3 linked regions of the Astyanax mexicanus genome follow. The protein of the gene in region 2 interacts with the protein of the main gene of each other region in a biochemical or structural test. Links are inferred from orthologs where the notes say so. Each region holds a gene or a part of one and is shown on either strand. Other genes may lie near its edges. The genes, in order: rfwd3, rpa1 and rad51.

Evidence for each region.
Region 1: the proteins of rpa1 (region 2) and rfwd3 form a complex in vitro, tested with the Homo sapiens proteins (3 studies listed by BioGRID, with this or other methods). The link is inferred for Astyanax mexicanus from reciprocal best matches to the Homo sapiens genes RPA1 and RFWD3.
Region 3: the proteins of rpa1 (region 2) and rad51 form a complex in vitro, tested with the Homo sapiens proteins (2 studies listed by BioGRID). The link is inferred for Astyanax mexicanus from reciprocal best matches to the Homo sapiens genes RPA1 and RAD51.

The regions. Positions count from the first base shown.
Region 1 is NC_064409.1:53,683,718-53,690,744, forward strand, and holds the start of rfwd3 (E3 ubiquitin-protein ligase RFWD3), read right to left. Parts: upstream 3,087-7,027; 5' UTR 3,054-3,086; coding exon 3,030-3,053; exon of another isoform or gene 2,854-3,029; intron 1,130-2,853; coding exon 912-1,129; intron 576-911; coding exon 319-575; intron 125-318; coding exon 66-124; intron 1-65. UniProt on the Homo sapiens protein: E3 ubiquitin-protein ligase required for the repair of DNA interstrand cross-links (ICL) in response to DNA damage. Plays a key role in RPA-mediated DNA damage signaling and repair.
Region 2 is NC_064425.1:14,360,139-14,368,191, reverse strand, and holds the start of rpa1 (replication protein A 70 kDa DNA-binding subunit), read right to left. Parts: upstream 3,045-8,053; 5' UTR 2,926-3,044; coding exon 2,893-2,925; intron 1,530-2,892; coding exon 1,482-1,529; intron 1,019-1,481; coding exon 940-1,018; intron 1-939. Other genes in the region: serpinf2b (serpin peptidase inhibitor, clade F (alpha-2 antiplasmin, pigment epithelium derived factor), member 2b), read right to left, coding at 5,303-5,646, 6,205-6,409, 6,579-6,721, 7,831-8,019. UniProt on the Homo sapiens protein: As part of the heterotrimeric replication protein A complex (RPA/RP-A), binds and stabilizes single-stranded DNA intermediates that form during DNA replication or upon DNA stress.
Region 3 is NC_064408.1:39,934,717-39,941,720, forward strand, and holds the start of rad51 (DNA repair protein RAD51 homolog 1), read right to left. Parts: upstream 3,001-7,004; 5' UTR 2,916-3,000; intron 2,910-2,915; exon of another isoform or gene 2,882-2,909; intron 2,714-2,881; exon of another isoform or gene 2,411-2,713; intron 1,663-2,410; 5' UTR 1,653-1,662; coding exon 1,563-1,652; intron 1,054-1,562; coding exon 916-1,053; intron 617-915; coding exon 499-616; intron 180-498; coding exon 1-179. Other genes in the region: adgrg11 (adhesion G-protein coupled receptor G2), read right to left, coding at 5,047-5,177, 6,229-6,536.

The sequences.
Region 1 (7,027 bases), on a different chromosome or scaffold from region 2:
TTTACTGTTACATGTAACTGTGAAATTGGCAGAAAAACAAACAAACTAAAGTAAAAAAATCAAACCTTGGGTTCAGACTGAACTGGGGCTTCTGTCCTCTCAACATCAGCAGAAACAACAGGACCTGTGTAAAGGCAAGGACATAATGGACACTCTGTTTAAACTATGCAACACAACAAGATAAGACCACTATTTAAAGCTACATTATGGAGAATTGTTATTTTATAGTACACTTAACAGCATTTTAAACCAGAAGTATTTCTAAAGTCTCTTTAAATTCTCCACTTACATTCTCTGAATATCAATGTGAAAATTTACCTGTTGCACTGGGTTCCTGAAGTAGAGGAGCCACCACTGGAGCCTGCTGGCTGGAGTTAGACACAGGGGCAGGTTCTGAAGACTGTCCAGAATTTGCGCTCTGTCCATTTTGTCCTTCTTCCTCAGAGTCACTCACCTCCTCTGTGCTGCCTGAGATTGGTTCTGTGTCACTCCCTGCTGAAACCCTGAGCAAGAAGTCTAAAGGGCCTCTGTTTAGAAGTGTAGTCTGAGTCGAGTACTGGAACCGCAATCCTGGCCTGTGAAGCAAGTTGAAGTGCATGTTTAAGCATAATTATAACACACATCTTCATGCAGGGCTTGTACTTAATATATACACATGTATAGTATGTAATGTACAGTAACCCTAGCACTGAATAGCATATTTGAAGTTATTCTGCTTTAAAACCACTGATACTCTACTAATCCATTAAATTAACTAACTTTAGGATGTGAAAACTCCAGAAACTCAGTTTGGAACCACTGACCAAGATCTAAAAGTACATTAGCAGCAGATTTGAACATTTAAAAAATTATGTACAGCTGATTGCAAAGGCGCCAACCAACAGGCTTACTTGTGTATTTATTCATCATACCTAGCTCTCCGTCTTCTCCTGACAGCCTGAGTTGATGCAAGTCGTGGCCTCTCTATTGGGACAGTGCTTCTTCCTTCAAGCTGTCTATCACCATCTTCATCCTCCTCTACTTCTGTGCTGCTCCCAGAGTCAGGAATGACTATCGGCACCTCCACCCCTACAGAACTAACAGCTGCCCCTGCTGCTCCTAACTGCACATCCACCTCCATGTCTTCCATCTGGAAAGCACAAAAAAAAGTGTTAGTATGTTACGCTGAATTACTCTGTTTTATTATAGGCACAGAGTCCAGAGTGAACAAACCTTCTATTATTGACCTTGGCAAGTGACACCACAATTTGTGCTACAAAAAGCTTTAGAGTGGACAGTGAGACAAAGGCCAATCCCATTTCCCCTCTTGGCCCTACCACTTAGTTCTACCCCTCTGTTTAAACTAACATCCCTGTTCTGCCTTTAATGGTGCAACAGATTTCACCCCTTTCTCTTGTATATCTGTTCCAAGAAAAAGGAATACACTCGAAAACAGAGGGAAGGAGTAGAAATTGGAAATAGGATTGGACAACATCTAGTGCCATCTAGTCTGTGTATTTAAAGCAGCCCTGCAGGTTTACAACGTTTGAAGCAGTACACCACTTCTCTGGTCCATAGTATAAAATCAGCCTGGTAGTTTTTGCTCCCAGCGGGTCTATGAAACAACTGGTACGGGCAACAAGGAAAGGTTGCCATCTCTTTTAAGCACCAACCTACAGGCCAGAGATGTCCAGCACCAGGCCCCATTTCCCTCCCACAGTGTGTCTTACATGAGCCTGACAGACTTCAAGCTGTCACTTAATACAGCAGAAGATTTACTACTACACCTATATAATAATTACTAAAGCTCTGATAGTGGAGCAAGTGTTAGTAGTTGCTTACTAACTAATTAGGTAGGTTAACTAGATAAGTTAGTTAAAATGTCAGAAATAAACAGTGACCCAAGATGCTATTAGCTAGCTAACTACAGCTCTGGAAAAAAAATAAGAGGACACCACTCAAATTAGTTTCTTTGATTTTACCTAGTTGAAAACCTATGGAATATAATCAAGAGGAAGATGGATGATCACAAGCCATCAAACCAAGCTGAAATGCTTACATTTATTCACCAGGAGTGGCATAAAGTTATCCAAAATGAGTGTGCAAGACTGGTGGAGAACATGCCAAGATGCATAAAAGCTGAAACCCAGGGTTATTTCACTAAATATTGATTTCTGAATTCTTAAAACTTTTTTTTTTATATGAACTTGTTTTCTTTGCACTATTTGAGGTCTGAAAGCTCTGCATCTTTTTGTTATGTCAGTCATTTCTCATCTTCTGCAAAATAAATGCTATAAATAACAAAAAAAAAAAATTGGGAATTTGGGAAAAATGTCCGTAACACAAAAACGTTCATTTAACTCAAATATATACCTATAAATTGCAAAATCAGAGAGACTGAAATGGGCACTATTTTTTTCTCAAGAGCTATATATGGACGTAACTAGCTAGATTAGCTAGCTAGCTATAATGGCTTTTAATTAATGTGCAAATGCTTTAATTTAGCTATGTAACCTCTTGGTGGGTTTACTAGATGTTCTTAAATTGAGCGAGGTGGCTAGATGGGTCTGTTAGCAAAGCTAGTTAGTGAATTTATGAGTCTGGCGCTAGGTTACATTGGTTAGCCTGCTAGCGCTAGCTAGCAAACAGATTACCATCTATCAGTCGAATACAAACATGCAGCACATTTAACCCCCCTCAGTATAAATATACACAGCTCTTTGTCGGTTTACTGCTATTAAAGCGTGGTCTGATGCATGGCGATTCGTGTTTATAAAGCACAGACTGCAAGTTAGCTTCGAAGCTAACTCGTGATGCAAACAGCTAGGTTAGCTAAACCCAGCTCACAGTACTGCGAAGCTACAAAAACATTACCTTAAAACCGCAATTCCCGTCCTCTTCCACATTAATCAACCATTATATATCTACTGACCCATACGCGCTTCGAAAAGGGGTCGAGGGTAGTTTGCTGAGAATCTCCCGAGATCAATACCTGACTCTATATAATCAGATTTACACTTCAGATCGATCTGAGCTCAAAGTCTCTCTACCATAGCTTCTGAAGTCCGCGCCATACTGTAGTTCCGCCCATTCCCACAGCTTTACACAACTACCGCCTCGACCAGGCCCTCAGCGATCCAATCAGACACCCTCATCACACAACCTGATCCGACCGCTCAGGAAAACAACGTTAAAAAAAACATATTTAACTATAGAAACAATTTTAAAAATAAAAATGAGAATAAACAGAAAATAAATGTAATGTTGATATCCCATATTTAAAAATATTTATATTATATATGACGTATTTATTTATAATTTATTTATTTTTTATTTATTTATTTATTTTAAACTTCTGTGTGTTGTTGACTACACATTGGTCTGCATTATGAATGATTCTTCCTAACTGTTTTTTATGTATTTTTTTAATAGCTTATATTATATGGTCACATATACAGCTCTAGAAAAAAATAAGAGACCACTTAATTTTCCAAGTCAGTTTCTCTGATTTTGCTATTTATAGGTATATGTTGGAGTAAAATGAACATTGTTCTTTTATTCTAGATAATACAGACAACAATTCTTCCAAATTCCAAATAAAAATATTGTCATTTAGAGCATTTATTTGTAGAAAATGAGAAATGGCTGAAATAACAAAAAAGATGCAGAGCAATAATGCAAAGAAAACAAGTTAATATAATAAGATTTCTTATAATAAGAACAATTATATACATATGACTCACAAAAAAATAATAAACACAACTGTACATACTGTTCATAACACCAAATTTGATTCTTTTTGAGTTTTTATGGGCTTTAGAGAACTATGAATATACTTAATTCCAATCATAAATGTATGCAGTATGGGTGCAGTTTTGTTAAACATACACTTGTAATAAGAGTAAACTCATATTATTGTCTATACTGGAGAAATAATAATTACATCCCAAAAGAGACAGACTAAATACAGTATTTGTAGAAAAGTAACCATTCTTTTGTCCAGTTAATATTTTCTATCACACATTTCAATGAAATGTACTTTTAGGTAAAGTAGTTCTCCTCCCTTTTATGTCATGTAGCACCAATACAGTAGCACTCTGATACATAATGTCAAGGGGGCTAAGGGAGGAGGACATGGACTGTGGTTTTGCCACCGAAGCTAAAAAAAATCTTAGTGAAAACACTGCAATAAGACTAAATTAATTATTGTCCTGTATAATTTATTTGACATTTTCACTACATTTTTCCACCAAATTAGTTTCTTTTATTTTTTTAAATTGAAAACCTCTGGAATATAATCAAGATGAAGATGGATGATCACAACCATCAAACCAAGCTGAAATGCTTACATTTTTACACCAGTAGTGGCATAAAGTTACCCAAAATTAGTGTGCAAGACTGGTGGAGGAGAACATGCCAAGATGCATGAAAACTGATTAAAACCCAGGGTTATTTCACTAAATATTGATTTCTGAACTCTTAAAACTTTTTCTGTATAATTTATTTGACATTTTCACCATTTTTTTCACTAAATAAAAAAAGTGCAGAATATTTGATAAATCTTTAGTATTTAGTCTTTAGAAGTGTTAATAAGATTATTTTTATATAAAATGTATTTGTATAGCGCTTTTTACAACTGATGTTGTTACAAAGCAGCTTAACACAAATATGATTACAGGACAAAGGATCAGGCAAAATATTAAACATAAAAAACACAGAATACAGAACACAGAACCCCAATAAGCATGGAGGCAAGGAAAAACTTCCTCAGAGCTGGAGGAGGAAGAAATCTTGGAAGGACCAAGACTCACATATAAGGGGCGATCATCCTTCCACTGGACAGAGAGCTTTTAAATGAATTTTTAAAAGTCTTTATACATCCACATAGGTCTTATATATTCAGGTGTACAGCAGCACCAGTAATGGAAGAAGTTAGAGTTCATGTAAGCTTGAATGTAATCAGTAGTGGAGAGTGAGAGGGACAATGGGCAGCTAATCTGTGGTGGATGATGGGAAAGCCTGACTTCAGAAACTTCTATCAGTCTGGCCGGGCAGGAAACATTAGAGCCTGAGGGTCCAACATCCATCGGTATTGGGTCAGACTGGTGGGCAGTCAGTAACTCAGAGGAAGGTTGAAGAAGGGAATTAGTTTTGACTGGATTTATGGAGAAAATATGAAACATTATCAGAGTGTGGCTAATGACTCTGGCAGATCTGAATAAAACAGCCTAACTAAAGGCGGAGAGTCAGAAGGTAACATAGACAGGGAGGCACCCTGAAACACCGGCATCCTCCCACTCCACTGTCCACAAACCTGAGTGACCACATGCAGTGGGCAAACAACAGCACCAGCATCTCAGTTTACCACAATTCCCTATGTCCATGAACCCCTGGATCTGCAGGCTTATCTAAAGGGGAAAAACAAATCTTTCAAGCATACTTTGTTCAGCTAGTGGGGCAAAATACTCAGAAAACATTTCAAAAAATTTAAAGAGATGGTAAATAATACAATCTGAAAATGTAAAGCATGTTTCCAAACAAATGCTGCAAAATAAAGTGTCTTAAAATAAAACATCTGTACAAAAATGATTATGGCATCATGGTGGGCCAACCATGTAAGTCTGAGTCAGCCCCTGGGGCTCCTGGGATGCTCCTTGTGTGTAATGGTTAACTGTGGACTTAAACAGACGAAGTGGTTGTGTTATGAGTGGGTCCACTTGCCAGCGGGTGCCTGAGTTGGTCTGTTGTCACTATGGCCGTGGCACACGGACCGCTAAACAAGAGGTTTAATACAGGGGGTTAGTATGAGTCTCGGGTCTTCCGCTTTATAGAACACACCTGTTTTGGAGAACAAAGTAAAAAAGAGCTACAAATAAAGACTGTTTCTCAACATGCCACTGCTACAATATAATTGATCTTTAAATATATATAAGCAAGCTTCTGTGGGGTTGGAATGAAAGTCTTGTTTAAAACAAGACAACCATATACATGATATGCTGGGCACAGGTAAAACTGGGTCTCCGCCTATAACCCATCAGTGCAGTGAATACTACAAAGTCGTATTTACATGTGAACATATTATATAGGATATAAAATGAAATACAAATTTTTTTTTATGAATAATCATTCACAATGCAGGACAATGTGTAGTTCAGCAACACTAGTTTGAATTACTTAGTTAAGTGTCTTCACGCTGTGTTTAAGCTGTGTTTAAAGGCTGTTGGTGTAGCATTTATAAGGACCCTAGCTACAAAAGGGTAAAATAACCAAATTAAACTGATCCTAAACAAAGCTCATAACACATTAATCACAGCTTTGTCACAATTTCACTCTCATTATGTATTCACAATATAGTCTTTTTGGGAAGTTCACATTACAAAAAAATGAACACAAAACAAACTAACATAGAGTTACACATAGAGTTGGGCATATGCATAAGCACACAGGCCCACTGCCCTGCTCTTTTAGTGTTTTTCCTGCATCAAACACACCCAAGTCAAATAATCAGCTAATTATTAATTCATTGTTGAATTCAGGTGGGTGTGTTAAAGGAGGAAAATCACTGAAATGTGCAGCATATTGGTCTCCAGTACCAGGATTAAGATATACTGAGCTAAAGGACGAGAAACGACGGCCTTCCTTTATTTACGTGGCCCTGTGTGACCCCCTGATTTTATGGACAGACAGAACAGTTCTACTGAAACTTTGTTACTCTCCCCACTAGATGGCCACCTAAGCCCACACACCACGAACTGTCTCCCTTTTGCAGGTAAGAAAACATGTTATATTTCAGATTTTTAGAGAAATGTATTTTCTTTACTCTTGTTTCAGACTTAACAGTTGTTTCAGTGTTATATCATATTAATGTGACCGTTTTCAATAACAGAGACGTATGTTGTACCAAACGAACCAGCTACGTTTTTTGTCCATTTATTTTATATGAAATCAACACACAATCAGCTTGATTAGCTTTTCTGGATGAAACAATTTCTTTTTCAATTTTTTTTTATTACAGATGTTTATGTATATTAATAGAGATGTTCTATGT
Region 2 (8,053 bases):
TTACGATATTCAAAAATGTTGGCGATATCACCTATGATACGCCATTCTAGTGCCAAGTAATTTTGTGACTGTATTGTCATACACTGCCTAGGGAGTAATTTTCTCTGCAGTGCTTTGATATCTTACTTGAGTTTCTATTACCTCATACAGATCTAGTATGCTAATGCAAGCATATTAGTCTCTGTGTGGACAAAAATGTTTTGTTTTTTTTAATGGAAGAAGGGTAATACGAGTTTTTAAAAATACCCATGTCTATTTTTCAAGAAAAAAAAATACCCTCTTCAATGAATAACCATATATCAACCATTTCTTCCATTTGTCAAAGGGGTTTAACTTGCAAGCGGAGGAAGTCAACAAATCCATACAGTGTCAGGGTGTTCACAGAGAAGTCAGTTGAGCACCAAACTTAAGTTGTATTAATCTAACCAGCATACCAATAACTGTTTGAAATATATGATCTGTTTTTGTATCCTTATTTACATTTATTCTAAACATTATATAGTGCAATTGTAAGACAACATTTTCATTTAATTGTCATGATTGAAACAGCCACTGAGTCATTTTAAAAACTCAGGCAGTCAAGAAAATTGTTTTGATGGTGAAGTACCTCTTCAATGTTAGGCTCATTATGTTTTGAAAATACCCAGAGATACTCACAAGGATACTCAACAAACACCAATTAAATTCAGATATGAGAAGCATAAGCAATGGATATAAAAATCACAGCACTTTATTATGTAACAGTTTAGTGAATTACTGGATAAACTATGCAAGCTCTAAGGAAAACAGAGTTCTTCAGAGAGATGCCATTAAGATACAATATGATACCTTTACCTAGAACTTTAGATCCAAATGAGGAAGCAAAAATCTATATACATATGCTTTGGTTTCATGTATAAGGTTAAATAGATCCCCTCCAACACACAAACACACACTTACAGGACATAGTATGAAGGCCATCACTCATCATGAGGCGAAAGCGGACTGGTCCACTGCCTCCATCAATCTTTCGGATATTCTGCAGAGAAAAAACAATTTTTATTTCACATACATGAGAATAAGGCTGCAAACCAAAAAAGCTCTAAAATTTGATTCATTTCTCATATTTGTGCAGGCTAAATTTAATATTTAACTAATGATAAAACAGGTTTATATTGAATCCTTTCATAAGCCAAAAACATTTATATTTGGATACCTACTAAACCTGTTTTGATGTCATCTGAGAATGATTTATGCCTGTCACATCATCAGTTTTATTTTGTTTTATAAATGTTATATTTAAATGCTGATGGTCTGTAAAAGAACGCTACTGCATTCTATTATATTTTTTCAGTAAAACAAACTTGGCTTACAATAAGATTGACAGGCCATAATTTTTCCTTAAAATCAAGAGAAGTAACAAGTGAAAACATCTAACACTCTCGTAAAAAAAAAAAAAAACACCAGCAGAAAAAAAACATGCAACTGACAGAAGAACTTACAACACATTGAAGCACTGGGTTTGAAACCTCACTACCTTTGATCAGGAGCTGAAATGATAGAACACACACAGTTAAGAAAAATACATACAAATACACAAAATAAAGTCTAATGAAATTTCTAAAAAATTGTCTTTCTGAGCTGAGTTTCCTTCAACTGACAGTTTTTAAAATCCATTAAAAAAACATCTAAAATACAAAGAAGTCCACCCAAAGAAAATATTTCTAAGGCATTCTATGGAGTTTGTCCAGATTGATTTAACTTAGTGACAGTCTATAGGTTTTTGGTGCGAAATAGTAATTGCACATAAGATGCTAAAAAGTACATTTAAAACATTTGATGGAACAAGTTTTTTTTTTTTTAAGGGGTGAAAAAATCTAAGTGTTGCAAAATCTACACGTTCACGGCTGCAAATAAATCTTTGTTGGAAATAATAAGAACTTTGTTATGATCAGAAAACCAATATTTTTCTTACACAGACAAATAAACAACAACTATAAGTCACACATTACAATAACAGGGAGAAACCACGAGTTCACGTTCAGAGAAAAGCATTTTCTTCTTATGTTGACCTTACACCTAACGATTTTCAAGTGATTTCAATGTCGCAGACACATTTCCAGAGTCGAAATAAAATCACGAGATGACAAATCAGAGTACTGATTTAACTTACACATTATGTGTAGCTTAATGTCACAAGTATTGTATGTAAACTCCACCAGAAGCATGATGGGAAATATTCTCAGATAATAATCTGAGCCTGTAATTAAAACGTCTTGTCTTTAGATGTGAGAGGGTGTCAGATTTTAGTCTGTTAAAAGTCTTTTTTTTTTTTAAGAGTTTTTTTTTCAACGTCGTGTAACTTAGTGTATGGACAGCATTAGAACCCCTTTTTCTTTAGGACGACAGGTTTGCAGTTCGGTGATTTCCCAGCGCACACGCGCCTCCTAGATCTGAATAATTGAATAGTTAAAAGTTTGGATTAGCTAAACTAGCTTAATTGTATTTACGAAGGGAAAACGGTGATTTAACCGAAAAGGCCACGCCGTTTGAATGACAACAGAACCGTTCCACCTTAAACTGTGCAGCGCCTGGACACCGTTTAAGGTGGAATAGACAATCCAAATAAAAATCGTTGGCGTACGGAAAGATTTTTCTACATATCCCATCATAACATGTACTCTTTAGAGCAGATTTTTTTCAGCATTCTCTACTTTACTGAGACACAGATTTCTCTAAATCACTAAGTTAGGTCGCCTGTTAGCTTTAGCTTTAGCTCCAGTTGCCGTTACTGAGCTGCTAGAACTACTTAGCGTTAGTTATTTAGCCAGGCTGACTCTGCGCTGCTCTCGGCCTTCTTATTTAACAGCTCTCACACTACGCTTTTACCCCTCTCGTTTACCCGGTACACACCTCTATAGCTCCTTCTGACAGTGTAACAGTCATGGCTGCGAGCTGGAGGAGAAATATCGGGGTTTAATATAAATTCTCAGCCGCTCCGCTCCCGCTCCGTGTTGTTGTTCTGAGTCGTGGCGCCAACTTTCAGTGTAAGCGCGCGCTCCGGCTTCTTGCATCACTTCCGCTGAAGGGTCGAAGGAGGAGGTCTTTTCCCCCCCAGTGACTACAGAGACTAGCATGTATACAGAGTTTTTAACACATATAACTATATAGTTTCTCTCTTATTTAGGGTATTTTAGGGTTAGCTAAAATGCTTAGGACTTTTATTCTAAAATAAATAAATATATTTACATCATAAAAATAATAGCTAATAAAAATTAAACCATTCGTCCTTTTTTATTATTATTTTTTACTCACTTTAAAGGAAGCCTTTTACGACAGCGTTTTAAAGCCACTCTTAAAATAATAAAAAAAACGGACTTCAAAAATATTAATAATATTACAAGAATAAACTTGCAACATTTCGCAAATAAAGTCGCAATATTTCGCAAATAAAGTAGTAAAATTCATACTTCTAGAATAAACTTATTTTTCAAAAAATAAGTTTGTAATATTTTGCACTTAAAGTAGTAATATTAAGAGAATAAAGGCGTACTATTTTGAAAATGAACACATAATATTTCAAGAATAAACTTATATTTAAAAAATAAACTCAATATTTTGCAAATAAAGTAGTAATATACGAATAAGCTTATATTTTGAAAATAAACTCATACTTCTACAATAAACTTATTATTTAAAAAAATAAACTCGTAATATTTAGAATAAACTTGTAACATTTTGCAGATAAAGTTGTAATATTTCAAATAAATTCAGAATATTTCTAGAATAAACTTGTAATATTTCGTGATTAAACTCATAATATTTCGAGATTTTAAAAAAATATTTTGAGAATAAACTATTGAGGATAAAGTAATTTATTTTAACACGAGGAGATTACTATATCGATTTGCAAACTCTTCGATCATAATAATGCAACTTTCCTGATTGCAATACAACTTTAATCTTAAAATATTATGACTTTATTCTCGAAATCAACTCTTTATTTTTTTACGCCATCATATGCTTCATACGCTTTAGTTAAACAGACAGAACAATTATTTCAATTAAGAAAACTTTTTTGAAGATTGAGGAAACAATTTATAAAAAAGTAAGGCAACATTTTTCAGCATCTATCATTTTTTTATTTGTAACAATAGAATTGTTTTACCATGATACTCTCTGGGCTCAGTAACAGCAAATTTAGTTGTTGTAGGTACACTATAAGAAAAGTTCCCACCTGTCGCGGAAGTTCAGGGAGTCTCCTACATTTTTAATTTACTCGTTCATTAACTCGTTTAACAACTAGCTGGCTAAGTGTTAAGGAGATACTGTACTCTGTGCACTTCATTGAAATTATGTTATATTTTATATTTTAAGTACAGATTTGAAGGACCTACACCCCCCCCCCTCCCCCCCTGAAATTAGTTTTTTCAGGGTGGGATGTCTGTATATGATTTGTAAAAACAATAGTTTGTTGGAAAAATAAAAAAAATATGAACCACAAACCACCACAATCAAAGAATAATATCTCAATTACCATGGCACAAACTGTTGTTTTATATTAATTGCACTGCATTACTTATTGCAGAAATGAAACAAAAAAATGTCTACTCAGGTGAACTTTATTTAGAAATCAAAAGCAACTGCTAATATTAGGACTGTAAAACAGATTTTTACTAAAAGTATAAGCCTGAAACATGTGATGTTTGATCTAAATGTCTAAATGAATACCACCTTTATATCACACTGTACAATAAAGTGTACACTAGGCGTGTAAACTGGTATAAAACCTAAAGCTAATTGGCTAGAATCAGATTGCCAGTCCAAATACAGTTTTTGGCATATCTAGATTGTATGCAGACAGATTTTTGATCACGTGGACAGCAAGAAAATGCATGATACCTGATCAGAGTTTTGCAAATTCGATCCAAACTTCAATTGTAGGTGAGTTTCTTGTGTCTATAGTCTAAAAGTTTTAAGCAAGATACTAAAGTATAGCTTATTGGCCCTGCAACTTTGTAAAAATACAGCAAGAAACGCTTAATTCTTTAAAACCCTTTTCTTTAATCATGAAACATTAGGCTTTTAAAACAATGCAGTTGACTGCTGGTGATATGAGCTTTATCATAAGATGAAAGGTAATTTGCCTTGATGGTGAGAAGTATCATTCCAAAATTTCCAATATGTTTCTGCATATTTGACTCCTGTCCATTGAACATGCTTTATAGCATATAATTCCCATTGTTGAAAGTCTTGATTTGCCTTTTTGTTGCGGCCCCATGCAGCTCAAAATTAGTTGTAGCCTCACTCTGCTGAAGGACCTTCACTTGGGTGGATGGACAGAAGATGGTGCAGCATCCTTGTCAAGCAAGCCGGCCTTTTCTACATCACTTGGGTTTGATATCACAGCAGCTTCGCTGGGGTTTGGGTTGGAAATCACCCCCAGAAAAAGTGGCGTTTGAGAAGAATCATCCATGAGGGCGAAGAAAAACGGCTGGTTAACTGTAAAGGAGGGGTTGGAGCGGGAGATGACTACACTGGTCGCAGCAGCAGCTTCTGCACCCTCTTCATTTATCTCCATGCTGGACTTGTGCTGCACGCTGGATACCACAAGGGGGCCATCTGCTATACCAGCCAGGTTGGGACTTGTGAACAGTTCCCCTAGACCTGTGTAAAAACAGAGCAATTATCACATGTAAAGCTGATCAGCCAGGGCAGGTAAGATTTGCACTGGAGCTACAAATATTTAAAGAATTGTTTGAGTGAGACAGGCTTCCACTACCTTGGATAAGATCAACTTTACTGTCTTTTGGGGGAATATACTTAAATATATTTAATATACTTAAAAAACACATGGCAACATTTTGCTGCAATACTTCCAAATTCACAGCTCTGGAAAAAAAATATCTGATGTTGCTATTTATCGGTATATTTTTGAGTAAAATGAACATTGTTGTTTTATTCTATAAACTACAGACAAAAGTTTTTCCAAATTACAAATAAAAATATTGTCATTTAGAGCATTTATTTGCAGAAAAAATAAATTTTTCAGACCTCAAATAATGCAAATAAAACTTCATAAAGTTCATATTAAGACATCAATATTTGGTGTAATAACCCTGTATTTAAACAAAAATTTGTATAAATAAAAAAAGGGTTGAATTAAACAAAAATGGTATTAAAATCTAAATCTGTTTCTTTGATAAATCCAGAATGATTTCTTACCCATGCTTGTAAGTGCCTCATCAAGTTCCTGAGTGAAATCTAGTTTGAATTTGGGGAGTTTGACTTGCATGTTTCTCTCTCGGGGAAAGCGGCTATATAGGTCTGAGATGTTGAGTTTGGCCGCAATGGTCGTCACATTGACATTTCCACTCACAGGCATTACAATTATCAGGCTCATATTCCCTTTGAATGGAAAACGAGCGACCTGCAAAAGACAAGACACAGTTCTGTTTACACCAATAATGTCATTTGTAGCATGACAGTAAACAGAACTATATATGTAGATGTTGTGTTTTCTATGTATGTGTATATATACACATATGCAGAGAGAAGAGAGAGAGAGATAGAGAGAGAAACATGATTATAAAAGGTACCTGGGCATCAAGTTCATTATGATTAAAAATACTGAGGGGGTATTTTGGCCCAAGCATCATGTCCACATTGACTGCCAGGTTTTCATCAATGTAGAACGGTTCACTTGTGGTAAATCGAGGGTCAAAGCGCTTCTCCCACTCGCCTGAAGGAAAAGAAAAAACACTGAATACAAACTTATTAAATTAGGTGAGCTGGACCTTTCTTAACAAATACAAACACGTAAGAATGTTTTTTTGTTAGACAGCTACCTCATTTTTTAATGATTACCATTCACAAGGTAACACTATAAAAATTCCAAAATGATTTATTCTCTCTATAGGTTACTAATCTTCAAATATCAAAACTAGCAAGAAACAAAGATAATTGGAGATAAAACTTTCTAGAAAAACTTTTACATTTTGATCCCAAGGGGCACACAGATCAAGTCTTTGTGGTAGATTGGCCAGATGGGAGTTACTCCCAATGTAAATGTATTAGAGTATGGTTATAATGCAAGGATACCAAATCCTGGTTCTGGTTATATATAGTTCCCTTCAAAGTTAAGATCCAACTCAAATTTAACACACTGGTATTAAGGGCCCTTCAGTAGGGCCCAGAACCTTAATGATTTGGCGCCTACATGACTTGACATCCCTGTTTTATTTATTAGTTATTTAATTTCAAAATGGGGAAAAAGTGAAGGGGTCTAAGTACTTTGTAAACACAATACATGAACTGTTGTAACACAACATTAATAATATTAGCCTTATGTAATGAGTTTCCAAAGCTACACTACATGTTCATATGTTCGTGAACACCCTTTCTAATGAATGCATTCAGCTGACAATAGAATAGGATTCTGCCAATAAAATAGGATTCTCTGGAGCAGATTAACATGAACCAAAATAGCCAGGTGTAGGCTCCATAAATATAAAGCCCTTCAGCACTGAGCTGTGGAGCAGTGGAACTGCATTCCCTAAAATTATGGTGCTCCATTCTGTAAATTTGGCAAAAGTTGGGGATCAGTTGCCTATGTGGTTGGGATGAGGTGGGTTGAATGCAATCAAATCCAGAAATACTCCAAAATCTAGTAGCCTTTTCTAAACAGTAGTAATTTATAGTTTTACCAACAAAAGCAGGACACTCTTGATTCCGGAAGAAGCAACAAATCAGCAGGTGCCCCAGTACATTTGCCCATACGGGGTATCTCTGTTTACACTTTTCACTGCTGTGGTGTGTCCTCTTATAAAAGACTGTGCGTATGTCATTTACCTTTATAGTGCACAGCGTTGATAAGCATCATGACAAGGTTAGAGGGAAGACTGGAGAGGAAGTCTGTGACTTGGCCATTTGTTGACTTCTCTACCCACTCATTGATCTCCTCCAGCTCTGTCAAGGCTGCCGGCTCTGAATTATATATTTTCAGAGACTCTTGCATGAATTCCTGTTTCGGCTGAAATCCTTGAAAAGGAAACATTCAGGGATTAATCTAGTG
Region 3 (7,004 bases), on a different chromosome or scaffold from region 2:
AACAGCCAGAAGTCTCTCTGGACGGAACGTGCCCTCGGTGTCGATGTACATGGCTTTGCCTTCCCCTCCTCCCTGATCGATAGGCAGCTGACATGTGACTGCTAACGTGTGACAAAGCTGAGTCTTTCCTGTACGAAATTCCCCAAACATCTCTGTGATGGAACCTGTCTCAATACCACCTATAGACAGGGAAAACAAGAGAAAGCAAGAAAGTGGCTCTATTAACAAAATACATGTTGGCTACATACAAATGCAACAGACATCACAGTGGTGAGTGGCTGGAGCATTTTTGTGCAAAAGCGTAGTAACATGAAGTAATGAAAAAGGTTTCATTTTATATGTATGCATTTCATCTTAAATTGTGCTCTGCTGTTTTTACTTACTTTTTCTGCCCATTTAATTTGTGATTTATGTAAAGAACCTTGAATTGTGTACTAAAAAAACATTTCAATGTTGTTTTATAAGCTACATTACAACTGAGGTCAAACAATTCCTCACCCTGCAGAAGCTTGTCCAGCTCTTTGGAACCAGTGGAAATCTGAATGATCTCAGCTCTCCGCTGGTGAAATTCTGTTGCTGTTGTGAAGCCCATTGGAACCAGTTTAGCAGCCTCTGCCTGCAGGAAACAATAAAAACATAAATTTAAGGATTTAAATATCAAGGAGATTTTATTGTCATTTCACATCACATGTGGTACATGAGGTGGAACAAATTTGTATTCCCACGGTCCAGTTTACACTCAAAGAGCAATTGTTTAAAATAGAAGAATAAAAAGACAAAGTAAAAAGTATAATCGTAAAATAATAAAATAGAGAAGAAAAATACACAATATATAAAGACGTAGAGAAGTAGCAGCAACACGAGTTCCAAGTTGCTATAGCAAAATGGATGATTATTAAGAAGTGCTGAGCTCACCAAAATCTTGTCAGCTTTGGCCTCACTGATGCCCTTAATGTTGATCAGTTCTTTTTTGGGGGCATATGCTACAGCCTCGATGGTGTGAAATCCCGCATCTTCCAGCTTTTTCAGGTCACTGGCACTGATACCACATTGCTGCAGAACACAGAAACAAGCACTTCATGAACAGAAAGGACTATCGACAGCTTTGTGACACCTATATGTTACAAACAGATCCAACAAGCAAAATTTCACACTCTCTCCATGGGAAGGTAGTATTGCACTAGTAAGAGACTGTTGCACATCTGTTGACAGACTTTATGTAGTGATTCTCTAGTCATTCGTCAGTGATCAGTTCTGACCACAGAGCAGGTTTCAGCTCTTGCCCAAAACTAAAACACACCCATTTCAACCAATTAATGAATTTTGAGATCAATGATTAGTTTGAGCAAAAGTCTGCATAAAAGTAGCTCTCCAAAAGGACAGGCCAGATTGAAGACCACATATTTATTTAGCAGGTGTTTCTGATAAATCGACCAAAGAATAAAGACTCAATTAAAATGTAACAGCTTATGAGAAATCACTGCACTTCACTCTTGCATCTGGCTCTTTAAAAGAAAAGAGGCATTGCTCATGGCTGAATCGCTAGTTGTGTTAAATCATACCTCCAGGCGGTTCAGCGGCTGTGGTCCAAAACTATCCTCTTCTTCAACTTCTGCCTCCACCTCCACTCTGCTTTCACTTCTCATAGCCATCTTCAATTACCTGGACCATATTTACAGACATACAAGCACAAATCAAAGCTAAAACACTAATACTGGGGGTACCATCAACAAATATTTTTTTTTATTTAATTAAAGAATTTAATTTAAAAATGTTACAACTAGTCTGCTCTGTTACACACTACACAAGCTCAATATTATTTATTTTAATAATATCGTAATAAATATTGTATTTTGGTAAAAAGTCGTGATATCCTAAAAAACAAAAGCTGGAAGGTTAGTCACATTCATTTGATTAATTGGATTCTTGTTACATTGCATTTATTTTCAAAATGGGACATGTTTACGTACAGAACCTGCCAGAGGGAATCTCACTAGATAGATTTGTTTTTCGGTCAAAAAGAAACTGTAAAAAAACTCTAACTCTAATGTAACAGTATTTTTAAAGGGAGCTGCTTCATAATCTTATAAGAATGAATGGTTATAATTATGACTTAGATTGAGAGAGAGAGAGAGAAATATATAATTGGTCACAATATCTCCCAGCTCTAGTTACACAATATGTTTACCATATCTGGCACAGCTAACCTAGCTAGCGTTAGCTAACCCATAGAAATGGAATTTATCCACTTGAACATTTGACAACTTTTCTGCCCTGTTTGCCCGCTGTGAGAACATTAAGATAAATTTAAAACTAGCAGAAACTAAGAATAAATCGGTGTTAAAACCAAACACGAGAAAAACAAAGAGAAAACAGTAAAGAGAAAATCACTAATCGTGAACAATCGTACCTAGTTCACCTAACTTAGCTAATCTATAGCTATAGCTAGCGTTAGCTTAGCTACAACAACAGGGCGGTAGTAGCTTTCGCTAGATTTAATTTACAAAGCCAGGAGAGCTTAGTTAAGTTAGCCAAAACCAAAATGACCCGAGACGAGTGTGGTCGAGTGTGTTGCTCTGCTCTGGTGTGCTGCAGTGTTTCTGACCGCAGAGCGTCCAGATAACCCCGCGCTCCTGTTATTGAGTTAACTCAGCTGTATCTGGATCAGTTCAGCTAGCCTGCACTGAATCAGAGCGGCAGCGGCAGCAGCAACAGTAACAGTAACAGTAACAGCTAACGCGCCTCTCCTCTTCTAACACGTTAATGCAGCTGAATCCGCTGAGACCCGCCCCGGACCGGCGCTGTCAGAGGTCGCCTACTGTTGCTGTTTCTGGGGCTGTATTGATATATCATTAATAACTGAATAAATAAACTGAATTACAGATAAATAAACAGAAGTAGAGGAGCTCTCTCACCGACTGGCCTCACAACCGAGTTTCCCGCGCCTGCGTCACCGGTCACGTGACACCGAGCGACGTCACAGCGGGCGTGTTTTTTATCTTTTTGCCAAAAAAATATTATTTCTATAAAAAAAATGCACCCACGTCAGTGTAACCTTTAGCAGTTTAATTGCCTAACTATAGCTGAATTTATAATGAAGAATAAATTGGGTTTCACCCAATTTTCCAATTATCAAGTTTTTAATTTCAGCATTTTGCAAACAGAATTTCAAGAAAAATTAAAAGTTGAAGGTCAATGTAACGTTTATTAATTAAATTTTCTGACCATTTGAGGCTAAATGCAAAAATTGGATGTAAAAATTCATTATTTTTTTATGTTGTTTAATTTTTAATGTAGTGCATTGTACAAGAAAAGGTTTTAATATTTTTTTCCAATTTTAGTTTTTTCATCTCTGCCCTTCACAATCGTAATTTTAGGAAAAAAATTAAATATGAATATTTTATTTTCAGATTTTTTAATTTTGCAAGTTGGATTATACCATCAGATTTGTGTTAAAAGATACAAAAATGGACAAATCTGGAAATCAAGAGATTCAACTTTTAATTGTTCTTGAAATTCCGTTTGCAAAAGGCTGAAATGAAAAAAAAATTGAATGAAAACACATTCTTCTTTATTTCGAATTTAGTTTGATACAGTCATACTTTCATTTTTCAGATTTGTCAATTTTTGTAACTTGTAAACACAAATCTGATGTTATACTCCAACTTAAAATGCAAAAATTGAAAAACCAGAAAATAAAGAAAATATTTTTTTTTTCATTAACGAGCCTTGGGATCTCTTTCCCACGCCTTTATTTTTTTTTTTTTTTTACATAATGTCACCTTAGGGGCTCCGTACGCTTGTGAGGGGCAGAGATGGAAAAAAGTAGATTGGAAAATGGATGAAAACGTATTTCTTGTACACTGCACTACATAAAAAAATAGTTTTTACATTCAGTTTTCTATCTTTGCATTTGTTCTCTAACAGTCAGAAAATGTCATTAATAAACGTTTCACTGAGCACCCACACCTGGCAAAAATGCTTTAATCGCTGCGTCCTATGATAAATATCTCGAGTCGTTCCAGTCATGATCGCTAGGTCTGAAGAGGAGTATAACCGTCTGTTTCCAGGAGGTGGCGCCAGCAGCACCCTGTCCTCTGGCTGTGCCAAAGCAGCTGGTATTTACCACAGACTCGCTCTGGAGGCTCTAAATTTAGTTATAGCAGAGATTTTGCATTGAAAGGAAAATGTAATATGTGTCTAGGCTTAATCTCTGTCTGGGAAACTGACCCATAGTGTAGAGTGGACTGTGTTGGTGGAGTTGTGGTGCAGTAATCTGACTTTATGCCAGTGCCAGTATAAAGCATTTTATTTAATATTTAAACTCAAAATAAAAAAAAATAATAGTTAATTACTAGCACTTAAAGTTACAGCAAGACTAGAGACAATTCATATTCACATAACAGACATTACAACATTAACAGAACAGAAACATTACATCACAAAGTATATTATTTATACATTAATAATCATTTTCTGCTGCATATTTACATCACTGTACTCAATAAGAATTAAACATGCAAAACCTTTTTAATGTAAATCACACATAATTTATATCATGTAGATTTTGTGTAAAAGCAATGCATCTGAGCTTTATGTACAAAACCCCTTACACAGCCAGTCACACATTTCTTTAGATTTAAATATTCACCCATTTTGGTAAAGGTAAGGGGTCTATAAGGAACTCTGACAATAATGACTCAATAATGTTTTGGGTGTGCAAATGATTTTTCTAAACTATGTAAACTGTACAGGGTTCATTACATAACATCTGTGCTTTTACACTGCATGTCCTCTACACTACTTGACTTGACTGAACTCTACCCATTCCGACTCTATTCGACATCATTAAAATGTTTCTGATTTTTGTTGTACTCTGAGACCCCCTTTTAAACTCCATTGTATATAGTCATAAAAATAAAATTTCTTACTGATCAAAGATAAACATGTCAAATATTCATGTTACGCATATTATATACATAATAAAAACAAAGAACTAGAGATAGTACCTAATACAGAAAAAACAACAGATTTAAAACATTTTTTCTAAAAGTTTTTCTGCTTCTCGTAGGGGTTTTCCATCTGCGTGGCCTCTGTGGTGTTGCTGGTTTCGGCTGAGATGGTTGAATCCCCAATGAACTTGCTGGTTTTGTAATAATAAATGAACAGGAAGAATCCTGAGGAGAGACATGAAAAGTTCCTAAATAAGCAAATAATCAAGTAATCACTTAATTGTATTTTTTTTATATGTGTGCCTTGGACAAATATTTTTGAAACTGAGAGGAAGTAAACTTCTCAAACTAAAAATGTATCTAAATCTCAGTCTGTTTCTCAGTCTTTATTAACATAATATAAATCATCAGCGTTACCTGTACAAACACATAGGTGTGATTTGAATCAGTATCCTGTTTGATTTATTTGATGTATGCATCCAGGATTTACTGGTATTTTGTTTAATTCAATCTACTTTCCATATGTGCAGTGTCAGTGCTATGATGGCAACATCTAAATATAATGGGCCCTATTTTCACCTATCTATAGGTGAAGCGTCAAACACGCACCATGCAGCTTGATTTAGTGTAGATTTGGTGTAGATATATTCACAATCACTGTTGCTATATAAATGATGCAGGCAGAAGGCGTGAAAATAGACTGTCGATGGGGTTAATTATGTGTAAGATAGCAATGAGCATCATAACGCACCTTGTGTAGGGTCCAAACAGGCCCAAATAGTTGTGTCAGGAGCATAGACTCATGTCTCATTTTTTACCTGACTTTGTGTAATCTAGTATTGTATAATGGTCAGAGACTCTAAACTGGTCCCCTTAATATCCAACGAAAGCCGAGCACAAAAAGTAAACACAGGAACTAGTTTTCTTTTTGTGCTCAAATGAATTCAAACTGCCACCACATGAAGATGAAGTTTACTTCTTATGTTCTAATGTTTTGGGGCATTTGTTTCAGTTCAGGAGCAGGTTGGAGTTGTAAAGCGTACCTAGTTTTTTTTTTATGTGACAGACATTTTCTATTTCCCCCCAAAAAATCAGAAAACTGTGAGAATCAGGCTCAGTCTTTTATAATCTGTAAAAACAGTTGTTCAAAATGTTGTGTAGTGTGCACAAGTCTCAATAATATCTGGCATTGCAGATACTTTTAGAACATGGCTGTTTCAAAAGCAGTGTTAGTATTGTAAAACTGATTGATACGCTCTTTGCTTTCATGACTTACCTTGGAAGGAATTGAGAATTGTGAAGATGTAGTACGATGGGAGGCGCAGGGCACCATAGGCGAAGAAGGCGAAGCCCCAAGTGACTCCAAGAGTGAAGCACAGGCCCATTATGGTCAGGATGTCCGAGGTGCCTGTCCCTGTGCGCTTACCCGAGCCAGAGGCTGCCTTTTTGTGGCCTGCTGTGGTTCTTTTGAGGAGGACGATCCACCGCAACATGACCACAAAGGTCGTGAAGGTGAAGGCGAAGATTACAGAGTAGTAGCCGATGTTCACAACGTAATGGACAGAAGAGTCTATGATCCAACACCTTTAGAGCAGAAGGCAAAGTTAAGATCAAAAGAGTCATATGGAAACTTCTGACTTACTACTGGCACCCACCCACTATCAGGGCCTAGCTCGAAATCGAATCATGTATTTATTGCCTTGCTATAAGCATGCAGGCAACCTTAATCACAAAATAGCACCTTAATGATCAATTTACAAATTACTGCCATCCCAAGTCTTTTTGTGCCAATAAATATATTCTGACTAACAACTGAGCCGAATTTACTTTTGTCTGTAAATTAACCAGGAAACTCAAAAGGACTCCAAGGAAACACTTTTTTTTTTTTACAAATTAAACTTAAATTTAGGGCCAATATGTTAGCTAACTAAAATAGAAAAATGTAAATTACTTTCCTTTATCATGTTACAGTAGGAACCCCTAAATTTAAAATCTCTCTGACAAAAATAAAAAGCGTTTTAGAAAATTTCTGTCTGTGAACAACAAAGGTTC